Linked DNA regions of Neodiprion lecontei. The protein of the gene in region 2 interacts with the protein of the main gene of each other region in a pairwise test. Links are inferred from orthologs where the notes say so. Each region holds a gene or a part of one and is shown on either strand. Other genes may lie near its edges. The genes, in order: immunoglobulin-binding protein 1b and serine/threonine-protein phosphatase 4 catalytic subunit.

Region 1 (4,856 bases), on a different chromosome or scaffold from region 2:
ATCTAGTGGTGAATAATATTGAATAATTATGTTGCCATTCCTAATAGTAACACACGTAGTGTATTCCTAATGGCAAGAAATCAAAATACAGATCACAATGGATTCGTGGAATTTGGGACTCTCAGAAGTTTTGCGAGGATCGCTGGATGAGAAAATAAAATTTGGATACAAGGTGAATCTAATTATGAATCTGTAATTAGATATTATTTAGTCGTCGCTTGTCATAATAGACCAGTTTTGCTTGGCTGTCAGGTTTACGACTTCATGAGGACGAAAAAGATACGAAAAGAGTCCATATTTCCGATGATGAGAGGCTGTTTGATCAAGCAACAAGCCGATGACGATCCAGACGAAGGAGTGAAGGTGATTTTTAAACGATACTTCAAATTCAATACTAGTTAACACTAGAGACAGAAAAAATTTACAATCTTGCCTCATTGTTCTATTAATGTTAGGACTTGATAGACCTGCTGCTGAAAAAAATTGATATCGATCGAGACGGCAAAGTATCGGAGGAAGATTATAATTCGACGATAAGAGGGAAAAATCTTCTCTTCTTACAATGCATGGGACCTGTGTTTCCTTCGCGAGAGTCAATATGCGCTTTTCTCACAACGTTCACTCCACGAACCGGTCGATACTAAGCAACAAGAACAAATCTAGTAACAGTAATGTTTCAAATATTTTCACCACACATATAATATCAAAGATCAGAAGGTATATTCTTAATGTACATACATCGATACACGTTATAAAAAATCATGATTGATTCAGACGATCTGCTACTGAAACACGATTTTTTCTCCTAGAAACATTTTAATTTCTCCATGTGTCAAACTTCCAACTAGTACGTATTTTGAACAAGAAAAAAAATCCCGTACGATCCAAGTAGTATTATACGTGATTCCAACAGTCTGATAATAAGTTAGATATCTTGAAAGCATCCAGAATTCAGCTATTAAGTACCTGAAAACAGTGATTGTCAAAACAAATGTTCCAGCAGTGAAAAATTGAAAAATATTATAAGCCACATACAAAATGTAATGCTCAAATTGAATCTACCTTACAGAACTGACAATTATTAACTTTTTCCCATATAAAGACGTGGTATTACGTTCTCCATTTTTTTTACCTCAAGTTAGTACCGTTGGAATTCTTTCCATATATATGGTTCAGTACTAAATAGAAAAGTCAATTCCGATGGACCACCTTGCATGAAATAAGAGTCTGAATATTTTATGGATTTAGCTTCTGTTGCTTCTGTTCCCCCAACCTCGTCTATGAGTATCTTTATATTCATCCATGGCACGAGCTTGGGCAAGAAGCTGCGGATCGTCTTTCTCGACTTGGTTTTCTTTTTGCTCCTCCTCAATATCTTCTTCCTTCAATTCATCCGTGTTGGGCGGAATATTCTGTAGGCACTTGCCACTCACTTGATTTCTCTGCGACGGATCTGGCCAGCTGAAAGCACCAAATATTGTGAGATTCAAGTCTTGAGATTGATGTTCTTAGGTTTTATCGTTCCTAAAATGAAGCAATTTATTTTAATATTGGACGACTTACTCGCCATCTCTGATTCTTTTTTCATAAAATTCTTGCACAGTCAGAACGGGTAGACTTGGATAGCCAGCTCCATAAACTTGTTTTTGTAGCTCATCTCTCGTAATAATGATCGGCTTCAGTTTAACTCCAGGCAATTTTGATTTTCTTGGGTTTTGAGCAGCCAAGGGATCACTGTGCCCAACTTTAATCATGTGCTCTATTATTGGCCTCTCCGAAGCTATTGAACTTAAATCATCCAACGCTTGGTTCACATACGACTTGATTAACGTAACGTAGTACTCTCTCTTCGATTCTTCATCTATATTTGGGTTGCGCATGTTCTCAGTTAATGTTTCCAGTCTGCTTTCCAGCTCTTTCTGCTCCTTGAACCTCTGCAGTTTTGTATTTCTTGTCGACACCTACAAACCAGGAAGGTTAGACGAGTCAAAACAATAGGCCCCTTGAGAAACTCCTCATTGATTACAAACCATGGACGTTATTAATTCGGCGTTGGACATTGGTTTCCTCACTGAATTTTCTTCGCTCGACTTTTTCTCAGGTAGTACAAAATCAATCAGTCCATAATGCTTTAGCCTATTCAGAAAATCGTTGTAATAGATCTCCGCTACGTCAACAATGTGCAATCGGTCGCTCGTTCCACAAATCTTTAGCGTCAGAGTTCCAAGCAGAGCTGGCAGCAGAAAGTATTTGATATTTGCCGTCGCCACTTCTTCGAAACTCTCATTGACACTAAACATATCCGTCATGGATACCAATCTGGTTGCATCTTCGAACATGCTCATCGCCCTCCTAACTTCACACTTTTTTTTCGAACAAAACAAACAACAATAACAAACATTAATAAATTTAAGACCGCATCTGCGTAGGTTATGAGAAACGCCGCGTAGGAAAACCTACTTGTATTTTGGGGCTATTTGTTGCCTCCTGGGATTTATTTATGCTGTTGAACAGGGCAAATCCTTCGTCGTAAATCTGAGACAAGCTTTCCGCATCTTTTTCTTCTCCATGAGGTAATTGCTTCAGGTTTTCCCTCGAAGCGTTTGACTTATTGGGATCCATTATTCGGGCAGTCGGCTGTACATACATATCAGAGATGAGTAGGTACATAGGTATACTAGGTCCATGGTACATGCATACATACGTTTGTTTACAATGTTTAGCCTCTATTCCGTGCGATCTCACCCACACCCCGTTCCAGCTAAACCTTCGATCAGATCTAATGATTTCGCAGATTTCGCATCACTAGACGAGAATTTTACGTCGAATTGCCGCACGGAGCGCGCCACTTGTCAGTCGACACGGAATTGCCGCTAAATTGCCGCATGCGCGCTTCTCTTCTCACGCGCGGCTTTCGTCTCTGAATTTAAATGGTCATCATTTCTCCATTCCGCATTCTTATAATTTATGAAAGGATCGGCCAGATAGAATTATATTTTTATACCATCATTTCTCCACTCATCGTGAACGTTACAACATTTTAACATAAGGTTTTATGTCCTTGTAAACGGATTTTTTTTACAATTCTCCGTTGAACGAAATCGAACAAAGATTCGGTACAAAATCGTTTTGTAAAGAACCGATTCAGTTGATACATTAAAAATTTTAATAAATCAAGTCGTAGGGAAATAATTTATTTGTATTTAAATCTTCATGCTTACAATTTAAATTGGACCCTGTAACCTTACGTATAAAATTTATAGTAAAATACTGTGCTGACGACGGTTCTTTTCATTTCACAATTCGATATCCGCTTAGGCCGAGAATATGTAAAGACAGAAGATCCAGGTAGTTGACTTGGAATTTCAATTTTATATTACTATCGTGCAGGTTATTAAAATCCACAAAACATCTTTTACAAACATCTGATATTTATCGATATTTCAGCATTCAAATACGTTCATGTTCTGAAATTATGTAAATAATGTATTCATTCGTTACACCGCATATCGTGTAACAAGATGCAGATTGATTATAATTGTATGTTCCTTTTAAAAAATCCTTAGAGCTATTTTAGATAATGTTATTATTCTGTAGATATCATAATTTTAATAGTCTACGGGCTTTGGACGTGTTTTCAGATACACATATACAACGATGAGTAGAAATATTGCAGCAAACGTCGGTAGAACAATGGTGAATAATCGTTGTTTGTTTTCAACGAATTCTTTCCTTCGCTCTTTCTTCTGCTTATTAGTTTCTTTAGTTTTTCCCTTTAGTTGCCGCATTTCTACCTGTAATTAAATGGAAAAATAAATAACAAAGGTCTACTGTTCAATTACAGACTAAACAGGAGTTAGTAAAACTTTCAACAAACATACTGTTCAATAATACTCTACACCATGCTGCTAATTGTAACGAAAGGTAAGGTATATTCCCTTACTTTGGTACAAGCTAATTAGTTACCGACTAATACTCATGTACTTAACATTGACCATTACTCCATGTCTATACAATCGTCAACTTGAAAAAAGTTTATTTACTCTTCTCTTACCGATAATCAGTTGGAATTGTCCAAAATATGTCAGCTAACCAGCGCGGCACGCATCCAACGTGTCTGACAGATATTTGACACGTATGGTATTCACACACGTATGTACAATTCCTGGTGGCATATGGAAAGCTAACGGTCATTGATTAGAGGTTACTAAGGACAGCTAACTGAATGAAGTCTGGAGCGAGTGATTCTACGACTTTCGATGTGTTAGCCGCCATCTCTTAGCCAGTATGGAGAGTTTGAATTTAAAATACAAACGCTGCGTACCGACCGAGTTCTCTGGAAATAACTTGGAATCTTGGACCATTCGATTTTCTCGAAAATCGTGTCGAAACAAATAATAAAAAATAGAGAGCAATTTATGAGTAATTTGGGAGGAGTTTGTTGGTGGCAAAATTTTCAAGAAATTCGAAGATCGCAGGCCAACATATAGATAATCAGCCTGATGATGACTGGCTGGGCTCAGTCGAAACGGTGCAGAATTGCAAGAAAATAATTTTGCAATTTGCCAGTCAATCACCTTCCCCGTCGATCGTCTTTCTTAAATAAAGATTTTTCATGCAAATAACTAAATGAAATGTGTGTTCATGCTAAAATTTTCGCCAGGTGTATTCTAGCGACATAATAATTCATGTTCAGCTCCAGAATCAAATCAAAACGTAAGAAATCTATGATGAAAATTCAAGTCGTGTCTGGTCTGAGATGGCATTTAAAACATGGACATGAGGAACGCAGCCACTGTTATTGGGGGATTGCTTAGAAAGAATGAACAAATATATTTCAAACGCAGAAAAAAGAC
Region 2 (8,202 bases):
TCGAAGTATATTGTGGAAATTTATTACTTACACCGGCTAGCTACTGGAATTTCGTCGTAGATCTAAAACTTAATCTTACCGACCGAGTAACTTTTGTATGGCCTGCACACACTTCTCGATTATCAGATCTCACTGCGATGGCGATAAAAAAATTACCCGGTCAAAAAAAGTAATATACAATTACTTATTTAAGTAATTCTCTTATGTTTTACTTGTCTCACAATTTTTTTTCTCGAGAGTTATTGGCAGATAATTAACATCCACCCACTTGACACATTGTATAATTGAAAACAACAATTATGATTTTATTTTCACTTTATCTTTGGACAAGTTTTTTTTTATCCCTCGTCCAAATTTTTTCATTCGTATTTGAGAAGAATTTTCTCAAAAGAATAATATTAGATTATAACTTTCACAGAAAAAGACGTACAAATGTCCGTATATTTACATTATTAATAATAGCATTAATAATAATCGTAGGATTATGACCACAACGAAAAGAACCAAGTAATTGTAAAAATTATTCCTTAATTTTATTGTACCACTGTTACGTACAAACTAGTTTAAAATAAGTCTACAATAGTCGGTAAAAAATAGTTACTACCTAGAACGCGATTAGCTCTATTTTACGAATTAAAAAACAGGCTCTAGCAAGCATCAGATAATAATATACCCTTTGACAGTACGTAAAAAGTGATAATTACTTTTACTGTTTATTAAATGAAGTGGTAGGCGTATTATTACAATGACGGATAAGTCAATATTGAAAAGAAATATCAGTTGACATGTGACTGGGGAATTGACATTACAATCAATTTTATCGCTAAGCAGACTTTCAAGTTTGGTTCATTGATCTCATAACGACTGTTATTCGAAAAGTATGTATTTATGTATGTATGTATGTAACGCAATTTTAAAATCACCCATTTGAACAGACCTTCCGGAATATATTGGATTTGTACAAACTTTGTGACCGATTACGTAAATTGGGTGTAATGCGGAGAGTGAAAGTTTAAAATCACATTAACATTCCATTTAAATGCTTCAAATTTAGATACAGCATGATCCTGTCTGATCGAATTCACAATCAATATATTTTCACGTAGATATTCTTAATATAATGCATTTATTATTCAATATCAAGTCCTATAACAATGGACATTGAATCATAGATTTTGGGCCAAAAGCATCCCTCGCTGTAAATTGTAAACTCACAATAACTTCACAAGCACATGTGCTTTTGCAGATGAATGGGCCGTAGAGACTGCATTAAACGTTCGCAGAAGATAAGAAACCATTCAAAAATATCCAACAATGTTATGTGCACCAATTGTGGTAAACGCGTATGAAAGACCATTAATATCTGTGTAATGGAAATCAATGTGAACAAACCGAATAACATAAGCTAAGATATCAACAATTCAAGATAAAGTTTTATACTTAGAACGTTAAAAAACATAAAACTGAGTTTTTTTTAATCCGATTCTAATGTTTATGGCATTATTTGTTCATTATAGAGACTTCTAAATAACCTAGAAAAAATGTTACTTCAAGTAATCCTCAGAGTGAATAAAAGTATTTTTATATAAGTACGATATAACAGATGTTCGTCAACAGTTACATTTGTGTATTGTAAGTGTATACTAGAATGTGAAATTTCTGGAATGTTTTTCACACAATTTGTGGAATTTTGGACAGCTAGTATGATGAGCACAAACACATTAGAATTCGATGAAAAACATCAGAGTAAATTGATTGAAACACTATATTTATGCAACCTTTTCACTTCATCAACCTTATTGACGACTTTAGTGTGTGTGATCCGAATTTGCTAATAATCATTTCTATTACGTAGTAGGGATGTTGTTTTATTTGCGTTTGCTATCATTGGTGCAAACAATATTGCAGATTTTTTGAACGAGTTTTTCTCTTCGACTGACTTTTGACTTAAGCACTAAGGCTCATTGATCCGAAAACAAACGTATAATCGTTTCCTTTCGCAAGATTTAACGACATTTTGGCTACAAAATGGAAAAACCCTTTACGGACAGGACAAATTTGATACAACAAATGCCAAGATTTGTTTAAAACGGTGAAATCCAATGCGGAATAACATGGTGAACTAGAAATCGCAAGATTGGTAAATCTGCTCGGAAATACGTTACTTCATATTGGTTTAATTAAGACTATTTTTCTTCCACTTAGATGCTGTTTACAATTAAACTTTGACCGTGTCATCGTACTAAGCCGATGCATTCAAAATTAGTACAATTTCAGCGAACGTAAAGATACGAACTGACTCCGAGTCGAGGTTTAACTGCAGTGCAGCACGTTGCTTGCCAAATAAGTCAATCTCACAGAAAGTAATCAGCTTGAGGCTTCTTGCTCGGAATTCCTCGACTCTCTTGCGGTGCTGCTTCAAATATGGTAAAATCTCTTTGGAGGTGTTCATTCAGTTCTAATATCGCTGCTACGTTACCACATCTGTATGAAGTAAGAATGCAACATTTAAAATTGATCAGTATTGAAATAAAAAAATTCCATCTGTCTGTCTATTAGAGTATCGGGTCCAGTGTGGTATTACTGTTGCACTTTTGTGTCGATAAAATCTCGACAATCAGGAAAATGATTGAAATGTGTCTTTTGGCATTACGCTACGTTTCAGATATTTTCAAAGTAGTAGACTATGAAGCTGATTGTAAGGTCAAAGGTTTGAAGTGGTAAGGTGATATCAGACAACAAAAATTAAATACCTGTCATCAGAAGCTTCTATGAAATATAAGATTTATCTCTGAGAAAATATTTTTAAAACGCATTCCCAATATTTTGATACTCTTGATTGAATACTGTTGTTAAATTGTATAGAAGGGTATTACAGTGACTCAATGGTTAATTATATAAGAAGAAAAATTACCTGTAGCAATAGTTTGGCGCTGACCAAACCGTAAGGACTGTTTCATTAAAATGCCACTTGTACCCTTCCATGACTAATTGATGGGCTCGACAAATCATGTCTATGTCATTAGCAGAGTTGAACTGTGCAACAACGTCGCTACCAAACAAATATCCAGCGCCTCGAGGAGAAACGCCCCATCCTTGCGTATCCTCAGGATCTGACCAGAGCAAATCACACATTGGACCGTCGTGTGGTACCTGAAATTATTGTGAACGAATTGAATTGAATTCGTGGTGGTGACAAAATCTCAAGGTAGTTGGTCAGCCATAAATGAATACTTTTCATCAATTTTATTGCAAAATAATTGTATTCAGAGTATTTATGCAGATATTATATACATATGGTGAGAAAATCTCTTCAAAAATACAAAAGTAGAAAATACTGACATGATAAACAAAAGCTTAAATATCGATGCGTTGTTTCGAGTTACTTCAAAATCGGTTAAAAACTTAGTAGATTCGCTCGATTTCACTCGATGATGGCTCATTTTATTCAGGAGACTAATTCCTACAAATTAACTAAAACATTTTTTTCACCTGACGCAATCCGTGAATATCTAATTTAACGACATGAGGAAAAAAGAAAATTTATTTCAGTGACTTTGTAGAAAATGGTCTTCCGAATAAAATGAGCTTTTGTGGAATGAAATTGAATGAAGCTACTAGATTTTCAACCATTTTCAAATTAATTGAAATAAACCATCAATATGTAACCTGTACTTTATAGGTGATTGCAGTATTTTCTATTCTCGTTTTTTCAAAGAGCTCTTCTTAGCTCTGAATATAGTAATTTGATAAATGCTCAATAAATAATTATTTTGTAATAAAATTGATGAAAAAGTAGATTTGTGGTTAACCATCTTCCTTAACTTTTATATTTTCTTAATTGTCGAATTTGCATTGACGCTAATTTTTAGATAAAGCATAATCCGTATTAAACAACATACCTCTTGTTTCCTATCTATTGTTCTAATTTGGTCCAGTGTTTGAATACTAGGTGAAAGACCACCGTGAACGCAGAATATCTTTCCATCGATTATCGCCGACAGGGACAGGTAATCAAATATCTCTGTGCAGTATCGCCACACTGTTATGCTTCCATACTTGCGCAAGCATTCGTCATAGAAACCATAAACCTGCGTTATCTGTCTCGATTCATGATTACCACGGATCAGGGTTATTCTGTCGGGATAGCGAACCTGCAAACATTGTTATTCACGATTTGAAAATAAAAAGAGTCATAATTGTGTACACTGGATAACTTTCGTTAAATTTTTAACTCTGATATTTCGCTTAACATATTTATTATATCATTTATTTAATACTTATTTTTAGTAGTTTTTAATGTATAGTGTGTAATCAATATAGCTGAAGTTTCTTGTAAGAATACCATCGTACTTTTAAAGCAAGAAGAAGCAAGAATGTTTCAACACTGTAAAATCCCCTGTCAACAAAATCGCCCATGAAAAGGTAGTTCGTTTCAGGAACATCGCCACCCACTTTGAACAACTCTTTTAGATCATAAAATTGTCCGTGTATATCACCGCAAACCTAAAAAATATAAATTTATGGTTAATCTTGTTGGAATGAATTGCTAACCAATTCAAAAGATTAAAAGAAAAAGTAAAACTTTGTATTCATCAACAAAAAATTTGTTAATTTGTGAATAATCTGCCTGAGACATTTTTTTGAAGCAATTTTTAGACTGGGAAGTAGATCCTGGAGAACGATAGGTTTTTAGGAGTTGGAATTACAGAAAAGTCTAGGATTGACTTTCAATAGGCAAAATCGTTTTGATGTTCTTCAGCCTATTGATAAAAAATTTTGCAAAATGTGGAAAATTTAAATGATAAGAAGAAGGTACATGCCAAATTCTATGAAAATCAGGATTAATATCAATTATAGGAATTACGAACTCTTGCAAAGTGTATGACATGTCCATTTTGTAACTGTAATTCATGAAATATTAGAATTTTCTGGCGATTTTTTCCTTAAAGGTTAACAATTGTATAATGAAAAAAATTAAGTCATCAAACGAACAGCTAATATTGGCTGGGTTTAAGAGAAAACAGTGGATTTTTATATTTACTGCAAGGGAACCCGTGAAATTAGTGTTCTTAACTCCTCAGAAGAGAAAAGAAACGTTGAGTGTTCTGTGTAGAATTTGAGGACCAATATGCAGCCTACAATTGTGTTCTCAATTCTGCCATCAATATTTAGGTGAAATACATTTTGAGAATCGTATGGCTAATAGAATCTTGTTGTAGTAATGTGGTCTTCACTTTAAAAAATAAATTAATGAAATTTCAAACAGATTTCTGATACACTTCACGCATTTATAGTGACTTTGGAATTAATCGAATATTGGCACATTTACGGGTTCAACGACCAACTTACAGTAACGGGTGAGTCGACTCGCTGCACATTACTTTCTTCGATCAGGATTTCCCTAGCTTTAGCACAGAGAGCCTTAACTTCGGCTTCTTTGATAATCTCGCATTTTTTCAGCTGTTCAATTTGCCGATCCAAATCACTGGAATCGGACATTGCTCCGTTAGTTTACTGCTCCTAAACTGTAAACATATAAAAATACAAATAAAATGTTATATAGACATTTTTACTTTGTTGAAATTTCTGGTTTATAAAAGATCAAACTTTGCATACTCTAAAGGCAGCTAATGATGCAATCTAACCTGAAATATTGAACGCGGTGTTCCAAGTTCAGTTAAATTGTTGAATAATCATGACGGGCCAGTTTAGGCAGATATGTTTGGGTTAGGTAAATTGTGAGGCAGATTGAGGTTTTTGGTCGGAAAACGACCTGAGGTAAAGCACTATGATTACATCGAATGCAAAAGCAGGTTAGTCAAGGAAGATATGAACGGACACAAGTCGCGTAAAGATATCGAGCGATTTTTGAAACAGCAATAAGATTAGGTAAATAATGAAATAGAAGGATGTTTCACAGTACGAGTGAAATAGCAGCCAAGATACGGTAAGAGCATTTCGTTAAAAAAAACTGAGTTTCTAAGTGAAAATAGTTTATAAATCTACTAATTACGATGGATATACGAGAACCTGCGTGTTTAGTGTAATATCGGAGCAAAACACGGAGAAATAAAAGCACTAAGTGCCAAGCATGCAGCTCATGGACAGACTGTAAAATACTAATTCCCTTACCGTCTAGATGAGGAACGGATTATTTTTCGACGAGACTCTAATCACTCGAAGAAGCTGGCTTTTCTCACCGTAATCTCCTGCCGGTCTCCATTTATTTCCGACAATGCATTGCGTGGTGCGCGCGTCGTTCGTTGCAGGGAGACTAGAGTAAAGGAGTGGACACAGCGTGCTTCAGAAATGAACACGAAATCCCGGCCTAAAACGGCGGCGCTGCGATCAAAAAGATCGTAGTCATATATATATATATTTAGATCAGACACACTGTTACTACTTATTTTCTAACCTCAATGTGGCAAAATTCGTGCAGTGTTTATGTTTACATGTGTAAAGCTTTTTGTTATTAATGTGCAGTGTTAATTAATTTATTATGTTTATTAAAATGGGTGTATCAAATTTCGTTGAATAAAAATAAGCTGAAACATTAGGAATCTGTAATTTATCATTTTCGCGTAATGAATCGAGAGAAGCTCAGGACAATTTTGTCCCGTTATTTATGAAAAAAAAGTTTTGACAATTCTCGAAATAGTCTCCTTAACTTCTAATATACTATCATTTAGGTGCGTCACTTTTCATTCTACTGCGCAAGCGCGGATCGGTCACTTTCATCGTGTGGGCCACGGTCTTACGTACAGGTCTGGTAACTCCGGCACTTTTGAGTGGTAGGGGGTGTCACCGTTAGTGAGGCACACGGTCTTGTTTTCTATCCATCCGCTAGGGGCGCCATTGGCCCGGGGTATGATAGATATAGATATATACCGATAAGATAACCTGCTCATCGAAGTTTTTGACAGTTCATAACTCAGTGTAAAGTGTGTAAACGGTGGATCATCTACACAAGATCTCAAACTGTCTCAAAAGTTGTGAGCCCTCGCTTGATGTTTATGGATTTTATTGACTTAAACATTTGAGGATTCCGTTAAAATAAAACAATTATCACGCCCGCCATGGAATGCTAGTAAACATCTCAATCATTTTTTATTCGCATCTTTCTTCATTTTTGAGTGTTATTCAGGATTGTTGATTCCGAAAAATCGGCTGTTCGGATCTGATTTATGATTGGCTCACCCCGAGGGGGCAGCGCTGCAGACGGCGAAGACGAGAACCACGGTTTTGCCTCATTATCTGAGTCATAGCTCACCCTACTAGTTTTGCGGACCTGTATGTAAGAGCGTGGTGTGGACTAATTTTATTACTATATTTACGATCTTTTCGACCTATGTGATGCTAATGGCAGAGCGGAGAACTAATTGAAGAACGGGTTTTTGAGGACGCCGTTACTACTTATTCTCCTATGCTGTGTCCATTCCTTCACTCTAGTCTCCCTGGTTCGTTGGTAATGCTGTTGCAACCATGTATGACGTGTTGCCTGTTCAATACGTGTCTCCATATCAGAGTACCGACGGAGTCAGCACACAGTATTTCATTTGACAAGAGAACTGCGACACTATTCTCTTGTGAACACGGTCTTATAGACAGGTCTGGGAACTCCGGCTGTAAAACCGTGCTCGAAAACGAAGCCGATGTTGTGAATTTTCGCCGCTAGCGCTAGTGAGGGAGAGGCCTACTTAGGGCGTGTTCGGAAATTGACTGAAAATACTGTCAGTACTGAAAATGGTATAGTCCAAGTGACGTATACTGTCGATTTTCAATACTGACAGTACTTTTAGTCAATTTCCGAACACGCCCTTAGTCACGGTCTTACATACAGGTCTGGCAACGAAGGTAGTGGGTGTGGTTGATTTCACGGCCGGTTATTTATCTCACTTTGTGGCCGCCAGGTCGGCGTTGTGATCGAGGGATGGATAATCAACGCGTGCGCAATGCAACCTAATAACAATAATATTATTATTGTTATTGCAAGTAATGAATCGTTATGAATGAAAGTAGTTAATATAAATATTAGTATGATATAATTATTATGGATGATATATGTATGGAGACTAGAGGCAAAGAGTATCATCTCCGTTTCCTATTTTCAGCCGTCATTATTGAAATTTATGATTTACTTATCAAGTTATGGAATTCTTGTATCGCTTGCGTTTGAATTAATTCAGGCGGTGACCTAAC

Evidence for each region.
Region 1: the proteins of serine/threonine-protein phosphatase 4 catalytic subunit (region 2) and immunoglobulin-binding protein 1b interact in binary tests that used the Caenorhabditis elegans proteins (3 or more experiments, as listed by UniProt). The link is inferred for Neodiprion lecontei from reciprocal best matches to the Caenorhabditis elegans genes pph-4.1 and ppfr-4.

What each region holds. Positions count from the first base shown.
Region 1 is NC_060262.1:173,684-178,539, forward strand, and holds immunoglobulin-binding protein 1b, read right to left. Parts: upstream 2,815-4,856; 5' UTR 2,694-2,814; intron 2,664-2,693; 5' UTR 2,650-2,663; coding exon 2,461-2,649; intron 2,364-2,460; coding exon 2,031-2,363; intron 1,962-2,030; coding exon 1,564-1,961; intron 1,462-1,563; coding exon 1,245-1,461; 3' UTR 699-1,244; downstream 1-698. Other genes in the region: EF-hand calcium-binding domain-containing protein 1-like, read left to right, coding at 1-8, 92-172, 253-363, 456-644; single-pass membrane and coiled-coil domain-containing protein 4 homolog, read right to left, coding at 3,609-3,788. UniProt on the Caenorhabditis elegans protein: Probable regulatory subunit of serine/threonine-protein phosphatase PP4 which may play a role in meiosis and embryonic mitosis.
Region 2 is NC_060261.1:25,917,581-25,925,782, forward strand, and holds serine/threonine-protein phosphatase 4 catalytic subunit, read right to left. Parts: upstream 6,287-8,202; 5' UTR 6,136-6,286; intron 5,529-6,135; 5' UTR 5,503-5,528; coding exon 5,353-5,502; intron 4,507-5,352; coding exon 4,354-4,506; intron 4,155-4,353; coding exon 3,903-4,154; intron 3,154-3,902; coding exon 2,915-3,153; intron 2,485-2,914; coding exon 2,355-2,484; 3' UTR 701-2,354; downstream 1-700. UniProt on the Caenorhabditis elegans protein: Protein phosphatase which plays an essential role in meiosis and in early embryonic mitosis.